4 linked regions of the Bombyx mori genome follow. The main gene of each other region encodes a partner of the protein of the gene in region 3 in a complex. Links are inferred from orthologs where the notes say so. Each region holds a gene or a part of one and is shown on either strand. Other genes may lie near its edges. The genes, in order: cyclin-C, mediator of RNA polymerase II transcription subunit 20, mediator of RNA polymerase II transcription subunit 25 and mediator of RNA polymerase II transcription subunit 24.

Region 1 (4,194 bases), on a different chromosome or scaffold from region 3:
AATCTAAATAATTGCAAATAATGCTTTTGAAGATCGTTGACTTTTGATCATTAATTAAAATCATCTTCTCGTAGAATTTACAAAAGCTCATTTACAAAAATTTATATCAGTATTTTCATATATTACTAACTTACTAATTACAACTATTCAAAACGTAATAGTATAACTATAAGAACTAAACAACCTATTTTAAAACAAAATTGGCATCAATTTAGTTCTTATGAACTATTTCAATTATTAATTTATAAATTATAAACATATTTAAAAAAAATTAAGATCCCTTGTGAGTTCACATTCCTTGCTGAATCAGTTTCTCTTCTGAAACGGAGAAACAAAGTATCTTAAGTATGTAACAAATATTGAAAAAATACGACCATGAAAAATTTAGTGTTAATGTAATCATACTTACAAATTAATATATTACATAACACGTTCTGGTTCAAATATAGTGCATCAATCTTTTCATGTTTCAGACATTTTAGTGCTCCTTATAATTTTTCCATAAAATTTTGTCATTATCAAACCTTTGTCTACAAAAATAAAAACATTATTTTATATTGGGTAGAAGGATGAACGTGGTCACAGGCCACTTGGTGTAACTTGGTTATCAAACACCAGGAAACAAAATGTGAATGCCATCATTTAACTTTGGATGTGAGATCAATTGTGCTGTATTTTATTTAAACAGGAAAGCATGACTATCAATCAGTCATGCTTTCCTGTTTATTCCATTCCAAAAAACTAGTTCGGGCCCACTTGACAATAAGCATATAATACGCTGAGTTGCAAAACATAAATACTTCCACCCACTCGAGACAATTTTATTATCTGAGGTGTGTGTGTGATAGTACGAGACTTAACACCGACTGTTTTGATCAAACTTAACATATATGATAGCTAGGCAGCAGAAATAGGAAGGACCATTAGTTGGTGCTAATTCATTTAATTATATTATGAATAATAATTCTGTTAGCAAATAATATACCGGGAAAATAGTGTAAACTCACCGTTATCAAGGCATCCGAAATAGCATTTCATTTTCGATCTTCGAGGCATGCTGATTTTTAATAATAAACTTTCTGTAAGAAACGAAAATAGTTACACAGGCTTACGAAACGCTAACGAAGAAAAAAGTATTGGAACCAAGTTATGTCTAAAGAGAATTCAAAACAGAGTTTCTCAATGTCTAATCGTCTAATATTCTCATAAAGCTAAAAGATGCTCTAAATTAATACTACAACGTAAAATAACTCACACCAAGACAAAAAAAAAACGATTTAAAAAATTAAATCGTTACGACATTTTGAAAACGTTTTTTTTTTTTTTTGAGATTGTTTTACGGCCCTGGAATTTTGAAAACTTCAAAGCAGTGTTTCCACTTACGTTTTTTTAAACACATTTTACCCTAGTTTCTTTTGAATTTATCCCTAAAATTTCCTAGACAACTTTCATAAATCCTTTATATAGAAAGTATAAATAAAATACAGAAAATAAACCACAGCATATTATTTAATGTAGGTATATATAATATAAACGCCCCCAGAAGATCATAGATATATAGGATTAGAATTTTCAAGGAAGTCGACGCATTGCTTTTATATTCTTTTGCTGCACGCAACCTAACACTGTTCGGTTCTAAAATTGAGCAATTGTTTGCTGGCAAAGTTGGGAACTTTCTATGAAGCAAGCCGTTCAGGGTTTCATTAGAAAGCCTGTTTCTTTTGTCAGTTTTTACATTTGAGAACACTGAATTATCTTTCCACCTCAGTCTTTGAAGAAGGAACTGCTAGCAAAAGTGAAATGACAATTACAAGGTTTTCGTAAATGAAATTACCATGATAATCTTTCATGGTACATGAAGTACCTGTATATTACAATACAAGTAAGTTCTGGTGACATCAACGAAAATAGGTAAATAAAAGTTTGGCGGATTATACTTATTGGGATTCTGGGGAATCCCTAAGAAAAAAGCAGTGGCTTAATCTATAATTTACTTTACTAGAGGGTTACTGTTGAATCAAACCTTCTTTATAGTTTTTATACACAACTCTGTTTTATTCTTTTACTTGTCAACTCGACTTAATGTCATTCTCTCTCCATAAAATAAAATGTTCATTGTTTTACTTTAATTATCGTTTATTTTAAAATTCACAACAGTTACTAGTATAGGCTTTGCTTTTTACCCCGAACTATCCTAAATCCTGGTATTTTTTAAATTGTCTTTATCATCCAAAATATCAGCTATTTTTCCCTAAAAAAGGGAGAATTCCCTAAAAGTGGAAGCACTGCTTCAAAGTACGCTAACCTTTTTTATTGAGTCAGAACTCGTACCTGCCATCTAGTGAGTTTATTAGATCATTAAGGCCAAAACGTTTCAAAAATGACCTCGCCGGTTCCTAAAGATGACGCTAGTTGAATGTTCTTTTCCTTTGTATGGGAGTTGCACCCCCCTGGTTATGCATACATATTACTAAAATACACAGTTTCAAAAGTTTCATAGAATAGGAATGGATGGAAAAATGTTAAATTTGTAAAAAAAGTATGTTTTTTTGATAAATCAAAATTTACCAAATTTTAATAATTATTGTGTTTTGCCTTTGAAGAAATGGCTGGAAATTTTTGGCAAAGCTCACATCATCAACAATGGATACTCGATAAGCAAGAGCTAAGGCGCGATCGCCAGTTTGATTTGAATATTTTATCAGAAGAAGAATACCAAAAAGTATTTAATTTTTTTGCTAGTATAATTCAAGTTTTAGGCGAACAACTTAAACTTCGTCAGCAAGTAATCGCAACTGCAACAGTTTACTTTAAAAGATTTTATGCAAGGAACTCTTTGAAGTGTATTGATCCACTTCTTTTGGCACCAACATGCGTATTTCTTGCATCTAAAGTTGAAGAATTTGGTGTTATATCCAATTCCAGATTAATAACAACCTGCCAGACAGTTATAAAAAATAAGTTTAGTTATGCTTATGGACAACAAGAGTTCCCGTACAGGACAAATCACATTCTGGAGTGTGAATTTTATTTACTAGAAAATTTAGATTGTTGTTTAATTGTATACCAACCATATAGACCATTACTACTTTTTGTCCAAGACATAGGACAAGATGATCAACTTCTGACATACGCTTGGAGAATAGTAAACGATTCCTTGAGAACAGATGTTAGTTTGTTGTACCCACCCTATCAGGTATGATTTATGTAATGCAAATAGTCACATTTCATTTTTTATTCATAAAACTTTTCATTGCCATTATATTTTGAATTACAGATTGCAATTGGTGCCTTACAAATAGCATGTGTGATGCTTGGTAAAGACAATCTCAAACCTTGGTTTGCTGAGCTAAATGTTGACATGGATAAAGTGAGAAATATACTTGAATATATATTAAAATTAAAAAAAATATGGTTATTGTGTGGTTGTATTACAAAACTTCTGAAACTACTCATTTAAAAATTCAAATTTACAGATCCAAGAAATTGTGAGAGCTATCATTAACCTTTATGAGATGTGGAAAAGTTATGATGAAAAAAAAGAAATACAAGGGCTATTGTCCAAGATGCCCAAACCAAAGCCAGCTCCCCAGAGATAGCAAGACATATTTTGTAGTATGGATTTGTATAATGGATATATAATTTTTAATTGTAGACATGAAAAATTTGTTTTTAATTCCCTAGGAAAAGAAATTACTATTTTTGATGAGGTCACTTATATTTCAAGTGATTTTTATGAATTTTTTCAACCATAAACAAATACAGTGTAGAGCACACTTTAGAGCATAAATTAAAAGAACAAGAACTAAGTTATTTAATTTTCCATCACAAGCCAAAGATACTCTCTTTATTGGTTGTTATGTGATTTAAGACTATTGTATCCTATTGTAGCCTTTAGACACAAAAGTAAATTATTCCTTTATTTCAAGTTTAATGTTTAAATAATGTCATTGTATTGCTATGCTGCCCAATAACATTGTTCATATAAGTAAACTGACAAAGATAAGTAAGATGACAAAAGCTAAAGAAAAAAGGCAATTCTAATGAATTTAGTCTTATCTGTCTGCATGTTTTTGAGCATTGATACTTCATTCATTAACTGTGTTGCATTTGTTCACATTTTACAACATTTGTCAACATTAACAATTTTGAACATTGAAAATGAGGTGGATCCTTTAAATAGATATATATGTA
Region 2 (3,090 bases), on a different chromosome or scaffold from region 3:
AGCCGCCGGTAATTACATTCCCGATCCTGCGGACCGAATGATAAACAGTCGACGTCGCCCAAAACACGTCATTTCGGATCCTCCCGATCCACTAACGGTGCTTTTAGGTACCCCAAGCACCGGTCATCGTTCTCGTCGAACCCTTCGCTTGCGACGAAGGGCTTGGCAAGTAAATGAATCCACAGACAAAGCCCACTGAGTTTCTCCCCAGATCTTCTCAGTGGGTCGCGTTTCCGATCCGGTGGTAGATTCTGCGAAGCATGGCTCTTGCTAAGGTTCATGTTGGCAACGACGCCAGGTTTGAGCCCCGTGATCTCACCTACTAGTTGGGTGAATCTAGAATAACCCCACGAGATCACTACATAGAATAGTAACAATATTTGTCTGATTAATGTCATTAGAAAGATTTAAAGTTCGAACCTCTCAAGTTTAACATTATTAACAATCTACCTGCCAGAGACAACTTTCTAAAAAAATCTCTTGACTCTATGTCCCTACTTAAAACATAACTACCAGACATTTGTCATAGAACAACTAAAAACGAATGAGTAAAATGTACATATTTATTTAATAAAAAAACACAAAACAGTCAACTTAGTTCATGTCGTTCTCATCCCTGTAGTCTTTCTGTAAGCACTGAAATGTTCTAAATACTGATATATTGTGTCTATTGGAGTGTATATTTCGTTCATTCTGCTTATTAGATGCTGAGGAGGTTGGACCGGAACAGTTGGCCCTAACAATCCTTGAAGGAACTCTCGAAGCAGACCCCAGACCGCATTAGCCATTACGCATGGTCTGTATTCTACCTAGAAATTATAGAACATATTCTAATGATACTGTGAATAATATCAATATAGTCTGAGATATTGAGGCAATGACAGAGAGTTAGGGAAAAGAGAATTGATAGATTGAATTGATTGATAGATTGACTCCTACACATCCAGTCTAGTCTATGCAACAATATGAAAGTCTAGCCGTTGCCCCTTGGCCAAAAATGTGTTTTGAGTATTAATTAGCACCAGATAGACGGTGAGCTCGAACATCTAATACTAAGAAAACTCAAAAAAAAGAGATGCCTAATGTATGCCTGACAATTAAATTTCCATAGAAAAAATAGCTTCATATTGTTATAATTATCAAGCCTATTCAATCCCCAAAACTAGGTATGACCTTTGGGCATATTTCTGCCACAAGGCACCACCACGCCACCAAGGTGTTCCACTTTAAATAATAGGTAACAGTTATCTAATATAATTGGCACTTCAACCTCATGTATTAAGGTAGCCAATGTCAAGTATGATATAATTTTCATGGTCCCTAATATTCACTACGCAAATTTTGAAAACTTTGACAACAACAGCAATCTATAAAAAACAAAGATTTTTTTAACATAATATTACGGAAGTATTCTTTTTAGGAACGTATTTCTCCATCTATCTTTATGTACTATTATAGATATAGTGACGGACGTTCTGGATGCCTCCAAGTGTTCACATATATTAACATAGCTATTCACTAATTATTCAATTCACTCACCTCAATCAAAATCCCTTTAAAATTCTGATTCATAGTAACTGATCCGAGCTTCACACAGAAATCTCCGAGCTCAAACCTAGGTCCTTTGCTCTCGATTTTGGTTTGTTTCTTAGAAGTATAATGCTGAGACAACTTCATCATTAACAAGTCAAATAGTCCGTCAGCTATGACGTGAATATTTTTCGTGCCACTTTCAAGGATTGAGAAGACAGACGCAGGCTGCTCAGAGTTGTGTAATATATGTACTGTTTTTGTTGTACCTGGAATATTTGAGTTACGTTTTTGCTGTCAGAAATTTTAAAAGCAGCATTAGACAAAACTTTAGGTAAGTGTGTTTCGTATTGTTAATTTCCACAAGCGTATGCAAGTAATGGTAACCGTTAAGTGGTCTGGCTGAATTTGATGAAAAGATAATAAATATTGGTATCAGCATCTCATCAACTTTTCAATTCAACTATCAAGTACACGATTAGCTTTGGTTTTTATAAATTCCTTGCATTTTATTTTTTATTGCTTAGATGGGAGCTCTCATCCCACCTGATGTTAAGTGGATGGATGGTGGTTACTGGAGCTCATAGATATCTACAACATAAATGCCCCACCCACCTTGAGATATAAGTTCTAAGGTCTCAGTATAGTTACAACGGCTGCCCCACCCTTTAAACCAAAAAGCATTACTGCTTCACAGCAGAAATAGGTGTGATGGTGGTAACCGTGAGGACTCACAAGACGTCCTACCGCCAGCAATTACACAAATTATAACTTTGCGGGTTCGATTTTTATTACACGATGTTATTCCTTCACTGTGGAAGTCAATCGTGAATATTTGTTAAGTACGTATTTCATTCGAAAATTGGTACCCACCTTCGGGCCACATAGGCCACGAGGACTTTAAGTACAATAAACTAGCTGACACCTTTGTAATGTCTGAAATATTTTCAAATATGTCATATCCATGTATTGGCGATGGGCTGTGTGATTTCTCTATAAATCGCTAAGTGGAATGTGTCTTTCTTTTTACTTTTAGCTTGGATTCAGTAAACACGTACCCATGAGTGGATGTGATAAATAACTCTCGCAATCAACCAGGAACTGTCCTTGTTGTGTCGCCCCTAATGCTAAGATACGCTTTGTAAGTAACTCCACTACATATGTTCCGGTCTTGTTCTCTGGCACTGGATATTGCTGTAAGCTGTCAAGTTAATAATTGAAACAGTTTATTAAATATAATCCACTCTTCACGATTTTTTTATGGTAGATTTTGTAGTTGTATCAAAAACATAATAAATAGATTTGTTTCGTTATTATTTTTAATGATACTCTTCCTTCAGTCTGGCCAAACTGTGTCAAAAATAAGCTACACTAACATGTATTTTTATTCGGGGATAGTTTTCATACACCGGATAAGGTTAAAGAAGAATTTGAGATAACGTATGAAGTCAAGAAGTTTACTTTCTACCTTTACATAGAGTTATTACTTTTATTAGTATTAGTATTATACATCGCGGTATATTTTTATGAATGTAATTATAGGAATACCACACAATAATA
Region 3 (4,286 bases):
GGGTGGAGAATCGGACAACATCTATTTTTCATCCCCCTAAATGTTAAGGGGGTTCACCCCTAAATTAATTTTTTTATTTTTTAGACAAAAAAATTTGTTTTTATTTTTTTATGATACAGAATACAAAAATACATACAACCCTAAATTTTCACCCCTCTACGATCAACCCTTATTTTTTATTTGTAAATCCTTACACACTTACAATAAGTTAGTTTTTTTTTTCTACCCTAGAAATCTTTTATATGGCAAAACAACGTTTGCCGGGTCAGCTAGTAATTATATATGAATGCAATTCATTGAATTGAAGCAGTATCCGTCAGTGATTTCATTAATACAATGATGGTTGTTTTATTTATTATAGATCTATACTAATACTAATAATATATAAATCTACAGTGGTTTTTACAGATGTTCTGTTATAACTACTGAACCATGCATCCGATTGACTTGAAACTTGGTGTCCATGTAGAAAATACATGTACTTAATGGATAGGCTAATATCTATATGAGTGTTGGACTCCCTAATAATAATAACAACAATAACACAATAAATAATAATGTTAATTTTAAATGCCCAGCGAAGCAGGCGAGTACGGCTAATTATATATAAATCGGTATATTATATTATATATAAATATTGTACCCAATCAAAACAGACATATATTATAAATAAAAATGAGAAATCAAAAATAAATTAAATTTTGAATTAAAAAAAATTTGAATATGTTGTGTTTTTCTAAAGATTTAGACAAAACTAAATTAGTTTACCTGGTGGAACTATTCCTCCGGCGTAGGCAGAGTAAGGTGGGGAGCAGCACATTAAGACAGCATACATCGGTGCATCAATACGACCAAACTCATCGAAACATGTCAAGGCTGTTGTTAGGGCTTCAGTGATACAAGCTCTGCTCTCCGCATGTCCCCCAATGAATCTGAAGTTTTGTTTATTTATATGCTTGGTTTCACACAAATACAGAAATATTTCATTACAAATGTGTAAATTATTGTTTTATATAATTACATCATTTATTAATGTTTATTATGTATAGCATTAAGTACTTTAAAAATAAAATTCCCCTTTCATTTCATTTTTTAAATATTTTTTAAATAATAAACAAAACTAAATTAACATCATTCATCTTTACTTTCATCTTGTGGATACTGGTCAAGACATTAAAATTATTTTAGGTAATTTTTTAAACCTTGGGTTTTTAAACCATTATTGGAGTTTTAGTAAGGATCCCTAATTTAAAAAAAAAAAGATTTTATCCTATGTCACTCCAGAATAGTGTAGTTAACAGTGAAAGAATTTTTCAAATCAGTTCAGTAGTTTTGAAGCCTATTCAATACAAACAAACAAACAAATCTGTCCTCTTTATAATTATATATATAATATATATGATATGATATATATTATATAATATTAGTATAGAAGTATAGATGTCATAAGCCCAATTATTATTTCATCTCCTTCTACTTACTGTATTTTATCAACAGCTTCAACTACATTCTGAGGATTGTTGAAGGGTCCATAAACTGATACTGGTACTCCAGGGTGGCAGTCTGCAGCCTTGTATGTAACTATTGCATATACAGAGCCAGTACCACTGCCTTCTTCGAGAGCACCGCCATGGAAATATCTGAAAAAATGAGAAAATAATGTGATTTGATAATAACATGTTTTACTGTATTTCGATTTTTCTATTGTAAAAACAAAAGAATATATTGTAAACAGAAATTGAGTTTAACGGATAAAATGAACGGCTATTTCCATCAAACGTACCAAGCTGAACTAAATAAGGTGACGGTATAGAACTGTGTAGGTGGACGAGCCCCCATATAGACAGACAGCTGGTCATGTACTGATTAGGCGAACTGGGCTTCACAAATTGGGGCCCAAAGTATTTCTATAATATTCAAGTTGAAATAAATTAATGTGTTGAACACGAGGCGGCCCACCGGTGGGTCTAGCGTACTATAGCCAAGTCAAAATCAGGGAATCAGTAACTTTTATCAACTTCAGATTGTCACTCTAATATTTAAAAACTGTGACAATTTACAGAAAATATAAAAATTAGCAACTTATACAATCTAGTTTCTAAGATATTTTAAGAGGCTTGATAAACACTGGATTTGAAAACCAAGGCGTTCGGTATGGCTAATGGACCACGCTGCTCACTTCCATATATGTTTTGTTTCATAACTGAAATCTGTGGCTTATTGGAACCCTGACGCGGCCCACGGGTGACCCGGTTCAATAAGACAAGAAACACCGGTCAGCACCATGGCCTGAATGAAAATACTTGATTTTTCATGTTGCATTCAACGTATTAAAGTTGAAATTTGTCACTATAAGACAAGATAAGCCCCCGAAGGACAGTCACAACAACAAATCCAGAGTAGTCATTTATGTTGTGCTCTCTATGGCCTTCAGTTAATTACCAGATGAGCCGTGAACCCACTCATCTACAAACACGACAAAAATAAATAATTACTAAGACAACGACGAAGACGCTTCAACGTTTTAATAGATTTTTATTGTTATTTTAAGTTTATTTGTAATGGTTAACTTACTCTAATGTGGGTATAAGATAATTTACTTTTAGTTCGTTTATGAAGGCACCGTTAACAGCGGTCGCCTCAATCACAAACACTATCTCCGCTTGTACAGGAGTTTCCGGTGCGTTAGCCACCATTGCGACTTAGTTTAATATTTTTGTATGATATTCTAAAATGTGACAAATCTATGAAAACTTTAGCATAATCATTTAATTCACTTAATTTAAAAGAATAAAATTGAATGTTTGTTAATATGATGTTTGTTTATAGGTATGGTAGTCTATAATCTATGATGGTAGTGGAAGAATAAACTAGCAAGGTGAAATATTGACATCTCGAACTTTTTTATTTAGCAAGTCGATAATTTTGAGCGATGTGCAACATTTCATATTTTAATGTTTATTTTTCAAATCGATGTTTTATTTTTGAGATCAGGAACTCAAAAACTAAGTACGAAAATGAACCTTCACATCAGAGAGTTTTATACATTTTATTTTTCCTGTCATTTACGGTGAAGGAATAACATAGTTTAATAAAAATGAAACCCGAAAAATTTAAATATCCGTAATTACTGATGGTAGGACGTCTTGTGAGCCCACACGCGTAGGTACCCACCGCCCTGCCTATTTCTATCTTAAAGCAGTAATGCATTTCGGTTTGAAGAGTGGAGTAGCCCGAGTAGCCGTTGTGCTGTAAAAACTGAGACCTTTAGAACTTATATCTCAAGGTAGGTTATGTCGTAGATGTCTATGGACTCCGGTAACAAATCACCACTTAACACCAGGTAGGACGTGAGCTCGTTCCTCCACCTAAGCAATAAAAAAAATTAAGAATATTTATGTAATCTTAGATTATCTTTATCATTTACTTATGGGACTTCGTTATGAAGTATGTAATATGTTTCCTTTACCGGTATTGGTGATCAAAATAATAATGGACCGCAGTCAGCTGACTGTGTCAAAGTCAATACGAGCCCTGAGACTGCTTTAGGTTTTGGACAAAACTTGAATGATTAATTTGATCATTCTCCAAACTACTAGTAGTACTACAACTAAAATAGTTCAATTTAGCAGAGTTCGTGTTTGATAGTGGCTTTCGTCCAGTCCGTAGCTTGAATACGGGAATCACTTGCAACAAAAAAATTATTGCGATGGAAATAACTTTTCGTTCGTGTCGTTTGATCAACCGGCTTTTGAGAAAACCCCTCGCTTTAACAAGTTACAGAAGTGTAGTTAATGTCGCGGCCAAAGATGAAGTGAATACCGAGCTACTGACGAGTTTCAATAAAGATATTCAAGATGGTAAGTTGTTTCGTTCACCTTAAACAGATCTCACTCCTAATTGTCTAGTCTTGATGAACTTGTTGGCGTTAAACGGGATCCAATTGCGGTGGCCTGACCAGACGATGCACCGCTTTTACATACGTATACTGCCATTATAAGGAGCTCCCGTGTTTGGTTTGTCCCTAACTGTGAGAGTTGTGTAGTGTCGTATTGGCAGGTACGCCGCCCTGGAAGCGAGGTGACCGCTGCGTCTGCCACTGGCTATCCAAATTCCATGTCTACGGCTTGCTGTAACCCTGTCCTAATGTTATCTAAGTTTGGAAATCTGGATTGCTGCTTTGAATTGAAATTATTAAGTTTCTTCAGCTTGCACCCTGGCTGTTGATGGTATTTGTCAGATCCACGATGACTGGATGAACAACTTGAATACCACCTTTAAGACAT
Region 4 (4,297 bases), on a different chromosome or scaffold from region 3:
TCTAGTTTTATACGTTTCAGGGCGATCTGTTTTAGAATTAAGTGACTTTTTAAGTCGAGCACTGTCCAAACTTAAATTTTGGCTTGTCTCCAACGCTCTTAATCTTTCTGTTTCAAAAAGTTGCATTGTGTTATTTTCTAGAATGCGGCTTCCTCCTCCTGTTTCCGTATATTTTGATAATGAACTTATTCCATCTGAAAATGAAATAAAATTTTTAGGAGTTATTCTAGACGCCAAATTATCAGGTTTATCACATTGTTATTACGTTATAGCTAGATGCGAACGAGTTTTGAATATTATGAGATGTTTAACTGGAGTCTGGTGGGGTGGACATCCATATAATCTAAAGCTCCTATACAACGCTCTCATACGAAGTATTTTAGATTATGGTACTTACTTTCTTGAACCATGTAATGCAGTCGGACTAAATAAGCTTGATGGCATACAATCAAAAGCTCTCCGTTTAATAACCGGTGCAATGAAATCTAGTCCTATCAATGCTTTACAAGTTGAGTGTGTTGACCCTCCTCTGCGACTCCGTCGTCAATATCTTTGTGACAAGTTTCTGTTCCGTGCTCTACAATTTACCAAGCATCCCCTTCATACCAAATTATCTACTTTATCACATTTAGTTTCATCTTCCCCCTACTGGAGGCACAAGTCTCTACCTTGTTTAGTCGTGAGTTTTCGTAAATTTTCCTCTTTGCTTGCCCCCACTCACATGTCTCATCGTCTCTCTATTTTTTCTGCTGAATATGAAGCATTAACTCTTGTTCCTAAAATTCATTTTACCTTAGATATATCTCGATCTATTTTTTCTGCCAATATCGATTTTAATATCATCTTAGATAGAGAGTGGTCAGATCGACATTACATTTATAGCGATGCATCTAAAAATTCTTCCTCTGGTCTCGTTGGTGTTGGAGTTTATCATCAACAATCAAAAATTGTCCAAAAAATTAAACTTCCACCAGAAAGCTCTGTTTTTACTGGGGAATGCTACGGATTATTTAAAGCTATAGAATATGTTAATTTGATGAAATTACATAAATCTGTTATTTTTTCTGATTCCAAAAGTGCGCTTCAGGCACTTCAGAAATTTCCTTTCAAATCTTGCGCCAATTACCCTGTTATTGTAGATTGTAGAAAATTACTGTGGGAATGTAATTTAAAAGGTTTCGATGTAATTTTTGCCTGGATTCCTAGTCACGTGGGTATTTCTGGCAATGAATTTGCTGATAAACTTGCCAATGATGCTGTGGATTGTGGAGATATTTATCCATACAAAATCTTCATAAATGATCTTTTGTGTCTTCCGAATTCAGACCTGCGCGAATCTTGGGGACAAACATGGGCTATTTCTAGTCAATATAAAGGAAAGAATTATGCCCAAATACAATCTGTCATTCCTACCAAGCCTTGGTTTTACAATTTTAGATTTAATAAGATCACGACTACTATCATAATCCGGATGAGACTGGGTCATGCTTGCACTCCATCTCATTTGACTAGATTGGGTATAGTCAATAACAATATGTGTGATTGCGGCGCTGATGTTGGCAATTTAAATCATATTTTTTTCGCGTGCTCCTTAAATGACTGTTCCTCATTTATTGATTTATTAACATCCCTTGGTATTCCACTCCCGACTTCTATTAATACTTTGCTGTGTACTATGAACTATGATATTTATTTATGTATTTCAAATTTTATCCTGAAACATAATATCAAATTGTAATTATGTATATAAATACCTACCTGATCCATTCTTTTTAATTATCCGTTTTTTCCTTTTTCTCCTGTTTCCCTACCTTTACCCTTGTATGTGGCTAAATGCACAAACAGTGCAAGCTAAAAAAGAAAAAAAAAAAAAAAAAAAAAAAAAAAAAAAAAAAATGTCTATTTTGTGATTGGGCTATTATTATTCAAGTTTGATCATATAAAGTAATGTTTATTCTCAAATGCTCGCTATAAATAAAATATCTTTAAAAATGTGATAAACTTAATATGCCACACAAATATAACGAATTAATTTCAATATTCAACAGTGAACAAGAAAATGTAATTTGTAACCTCAAAGACTAGTAGTAAAGTGTTGTTTAAACGACTAATATCACGTCAAAAATGTGTGAAATGTAAGAAAGAAACATTATTGTGCTCTAATAAAATACAATAAAAATGGATGCTTCCAAAATAACGAGTAAAACTAGTTCACTAAAAGCTTTAATTTTAAAAGCTTGGAAAGAACGATGGACTGATATTCAATGGGGCATCAACATCAAAACTATACTGCCGAGGGGCGTCAGTGGTGACCTATATAATCTGGCTGATTGTATTCTTCAACAAGCCATGGTAGGCTGTGGGGCCAATCAGTTAGTGATATCGTATTTGAAACATTCACTTGCGTGTCATTTGGTCTCTTTCGCGGCTGTGTTACAACGAATCGCAAAATTTGATGCTTTTCACAAACCTCATTGTATAATAAGCTTGTTGGAGTTCCTTGAAACCTTTTTGGAGAGTATTACATGCAGAGGCAAGTTAGAAGAAGAAGTTTTAGCTTATGCTGTATCATCTATAATATTGTGGCTTTTACAAGTATTTCACTATTCATTAACCAAGTATCCAGCTTCAAGTTCTGTTCAAAGTCAGGAATTATTGGAGAAATCATCAGTTTTACTGAACTCTATTGTTAATACAGATTTTCTGATTGCAATGTTCTATTTGGCCAAGCAGAATGATCCTGATGAGTATAACGAAGTGACAAAGAAATGTCAAGAGATAACAGCATTTATGATGATGAACACTCAATTCAAACCTCCGATGACCATACATGTCACTTTACACAAAATCTGCAATATGGAATTGGATAAAATAGCACCCTTAAACAATAAACCAGAAGCTGTAACCTATTGTCTGCAGGCTTTAATAGCTATAAATGTGTTCTCAAACCCTAGTGCAGGCATGCAACAGATCTCCAGCCAACTACTAATGGTTCAGAAAATAAAAGGCTATTCATTGTCACGTCTCTACTGTGAACTTATTAGAGCTTGTTTCATTTCACTAAATGATTCTAGTAATGATGCATCGAAGCAATCATTGTGGGCTGCATTCACTTTTCTAAAAGTTCCACAAGTGATAAATCACCTCCATAATATGTGTGGGACAACAAATAAGGAAAGTGAATATTCTACTGAGGTTGTGGAAGCTTTTGAAATGTTATTACAATCAGCTCCACTCCTGGATATTGTTGATACGAAGAATTCTTGTAATAGTGTTATTTCACTTATAGAGCCATTAGTTAAACTTAATGTTCTGTCAGATAATACTTTGACATATTTTAAACAAAAACGTGAGACTATTGATCATCCTTTACAAAAATTTGAGCCAATAGGATTACAAGGCTCAGTCCCATTATTTATAACTCGTGTTGAACCTACATTGGCAGAGATTTTAAAAGCATTGAGTGGTGAATTTCACAAAACTCAAGAGTCGCTCTATATCATGCTATGCCAAATAGTTGGTCGAACTACATTGGATACCATCCTGGCCGTTGCAACTGTGGAAGGAAAACTAAAAATGTTTGTGTCAAGACTCATTAAGTTTAATGAATTTGCATTGTTTGCTGCAAGTGAAAAAGGTGCACCACAATCAAAAGTATATATATTTGACATTTCATTTTTGCTTTTATGTTGGATAGTCCAAGATTATGGAGCTGATGTTGTTCTAGAAGAAAATGGTGATTCATTTTTTGAGAAATGGGTAAGGGATTGTATGGTACATAAAGGAAATTATAAATCTTCAGATCAGATACTTCAGAAATGTGATCATGTTGTTGATGTTATCATTCACCATTTGAGTGCTCCTGACTTTGATTTCAAAAATACTAATGTCAAACCTCATGATCTTTGTATGAATATCACTGGTGCAGTCAAAGAGGTTCTTTTTGCTTGGGAACAAGGTCTACTTTCGGCAACAGATGTTAAAAGAATGTTGGATTCTATAAGACAAAAAATGGCTTCCTTGGCAGTGTGTGCATCAGTATGGCTTTGTTCATACATCAATGTTGTCCATCAAGATGCATCAATAAAACCCATGAATATGGTTCAGCAATTTTTAACATCACCTACTGAATTAGAATTAACTCAAATAGACAATTTTCAAGAAAGAGCAATTTTGATGTGTCAGATAATAAGAAAATTACTGTTTAAAATTCATCCTACCTCAATGCCAAAATCAAAAGAGCAGCAGTTGCCATACAGTATCACCTCTCGCAAGCCAATATTAGAGCAACTACAAA

Evidence for each region.
Region 1: mediator of RNA polymerase II transcription subunit 25 (region 3) and cyclin-C share a complex: the UniProt entries of both Homo sapiens proteins name them as parts of the mediator complex. The link is inferred for Bombyx mori from reciprocal best matches to the Homo sapiens genes MED25 and CCNC.
Region 2: mediator of RNA polymerase II transcription subunit 25 (region 3) and mediator of RNA polymerase II transcription subunit 20 share a complex: the UniProt entries of both Homo sapiens proteins name them as parts of the mediator complex. The link is inferred for Bombyx mori from reciprocal best matches to the Homo sapiens genes MED25 and MED20.
Region 4: mediator of RNA polymerase II transcription subunit 25 (region 3) and mediator of RNA polymerase II transcription subunit 24 share a complex: the UniProt entries of both Homo sapiens proteins name them as parts of the mediator complex. The link is inferred for Bombyx mori from reciprocal best matches to the Homo sapiens genes MED25 and MED24.

What each region holds. Positions count from the first base shown.
Region 1 is NC_085121.1:11,205,397-11,209,590, forward strand, and holds the start of cyclin-C, read left to right. Parts: upstream 1-1,317; 5' UTR 1,318-2,605; coding exon 2,606-3,196; intron 3,197-3,277; coding exon 3,278-3,370; intron 3,371-3,476; coding exon 3,477-3,599; 3' UTR 3,600-4,194. UniProt on the Homo sapiens protein: Component of the Mediator complex, a coactivator involved in regulated gene transcription of nearly all RNA polymerase II-dependent genes.
Region 2 is NC_085134.1:1,809,403-1,812,492, forward strand, and holds the end of mediator of RNA polymerase II transcription subunit 20, read right to left. Parts: intron 2,732-3,090; coding exon 2,589-2,731; intron 1,800-2,588; coding exon 1,540-1,799; intron 810-1,539; coding exon 600-809; 3' UTR 550-599; downstream 1-549. UniProt on the Homo sapiens protein: Component of the Mediator complex, a coactivator involved in the regulated transcription of nearly all RNA polymerase II-dependent genes.
Region 3 is NC_085126.1:7,906,815-7,911,100, forward strand, and holds the start of mediator of RNA polymerase II transcription subunit 25, read right to left. Parts: upstream 2,864-4,286; 5' UTR 2,697-2,863; coding exon 2,575-2,696; intron 1,641-2,574; coding exon 1,482-1,640; intron 933-1,481; coding exon 769-932; intron 1-768. Other genes in the region: malonate--CoA ligase ACSF3, mitochondrial, read left to right, coding at 3,710-3,860. UniProt on the Homo sapiens protein: Component of the Mediator complex, a coactivator involved in the regulated transcription of nearly all RNA polymerase II-dependent genes.
Region 4 is NC_085113.1:5,802,012-5,806,308, reverse strand, and holds the start of mediator of RNA polymerase II transcription subunit 24, read left to right. Parts: upstream 1-1,452; 5' UTR 1,453-2,178; coding exon 2,179-4,297. UniProt on the Homo sapiens protein: Component of the Mediator complex, a coactivator involved in the regulated transcription of nearly all RNA polymerase II-dependent genes.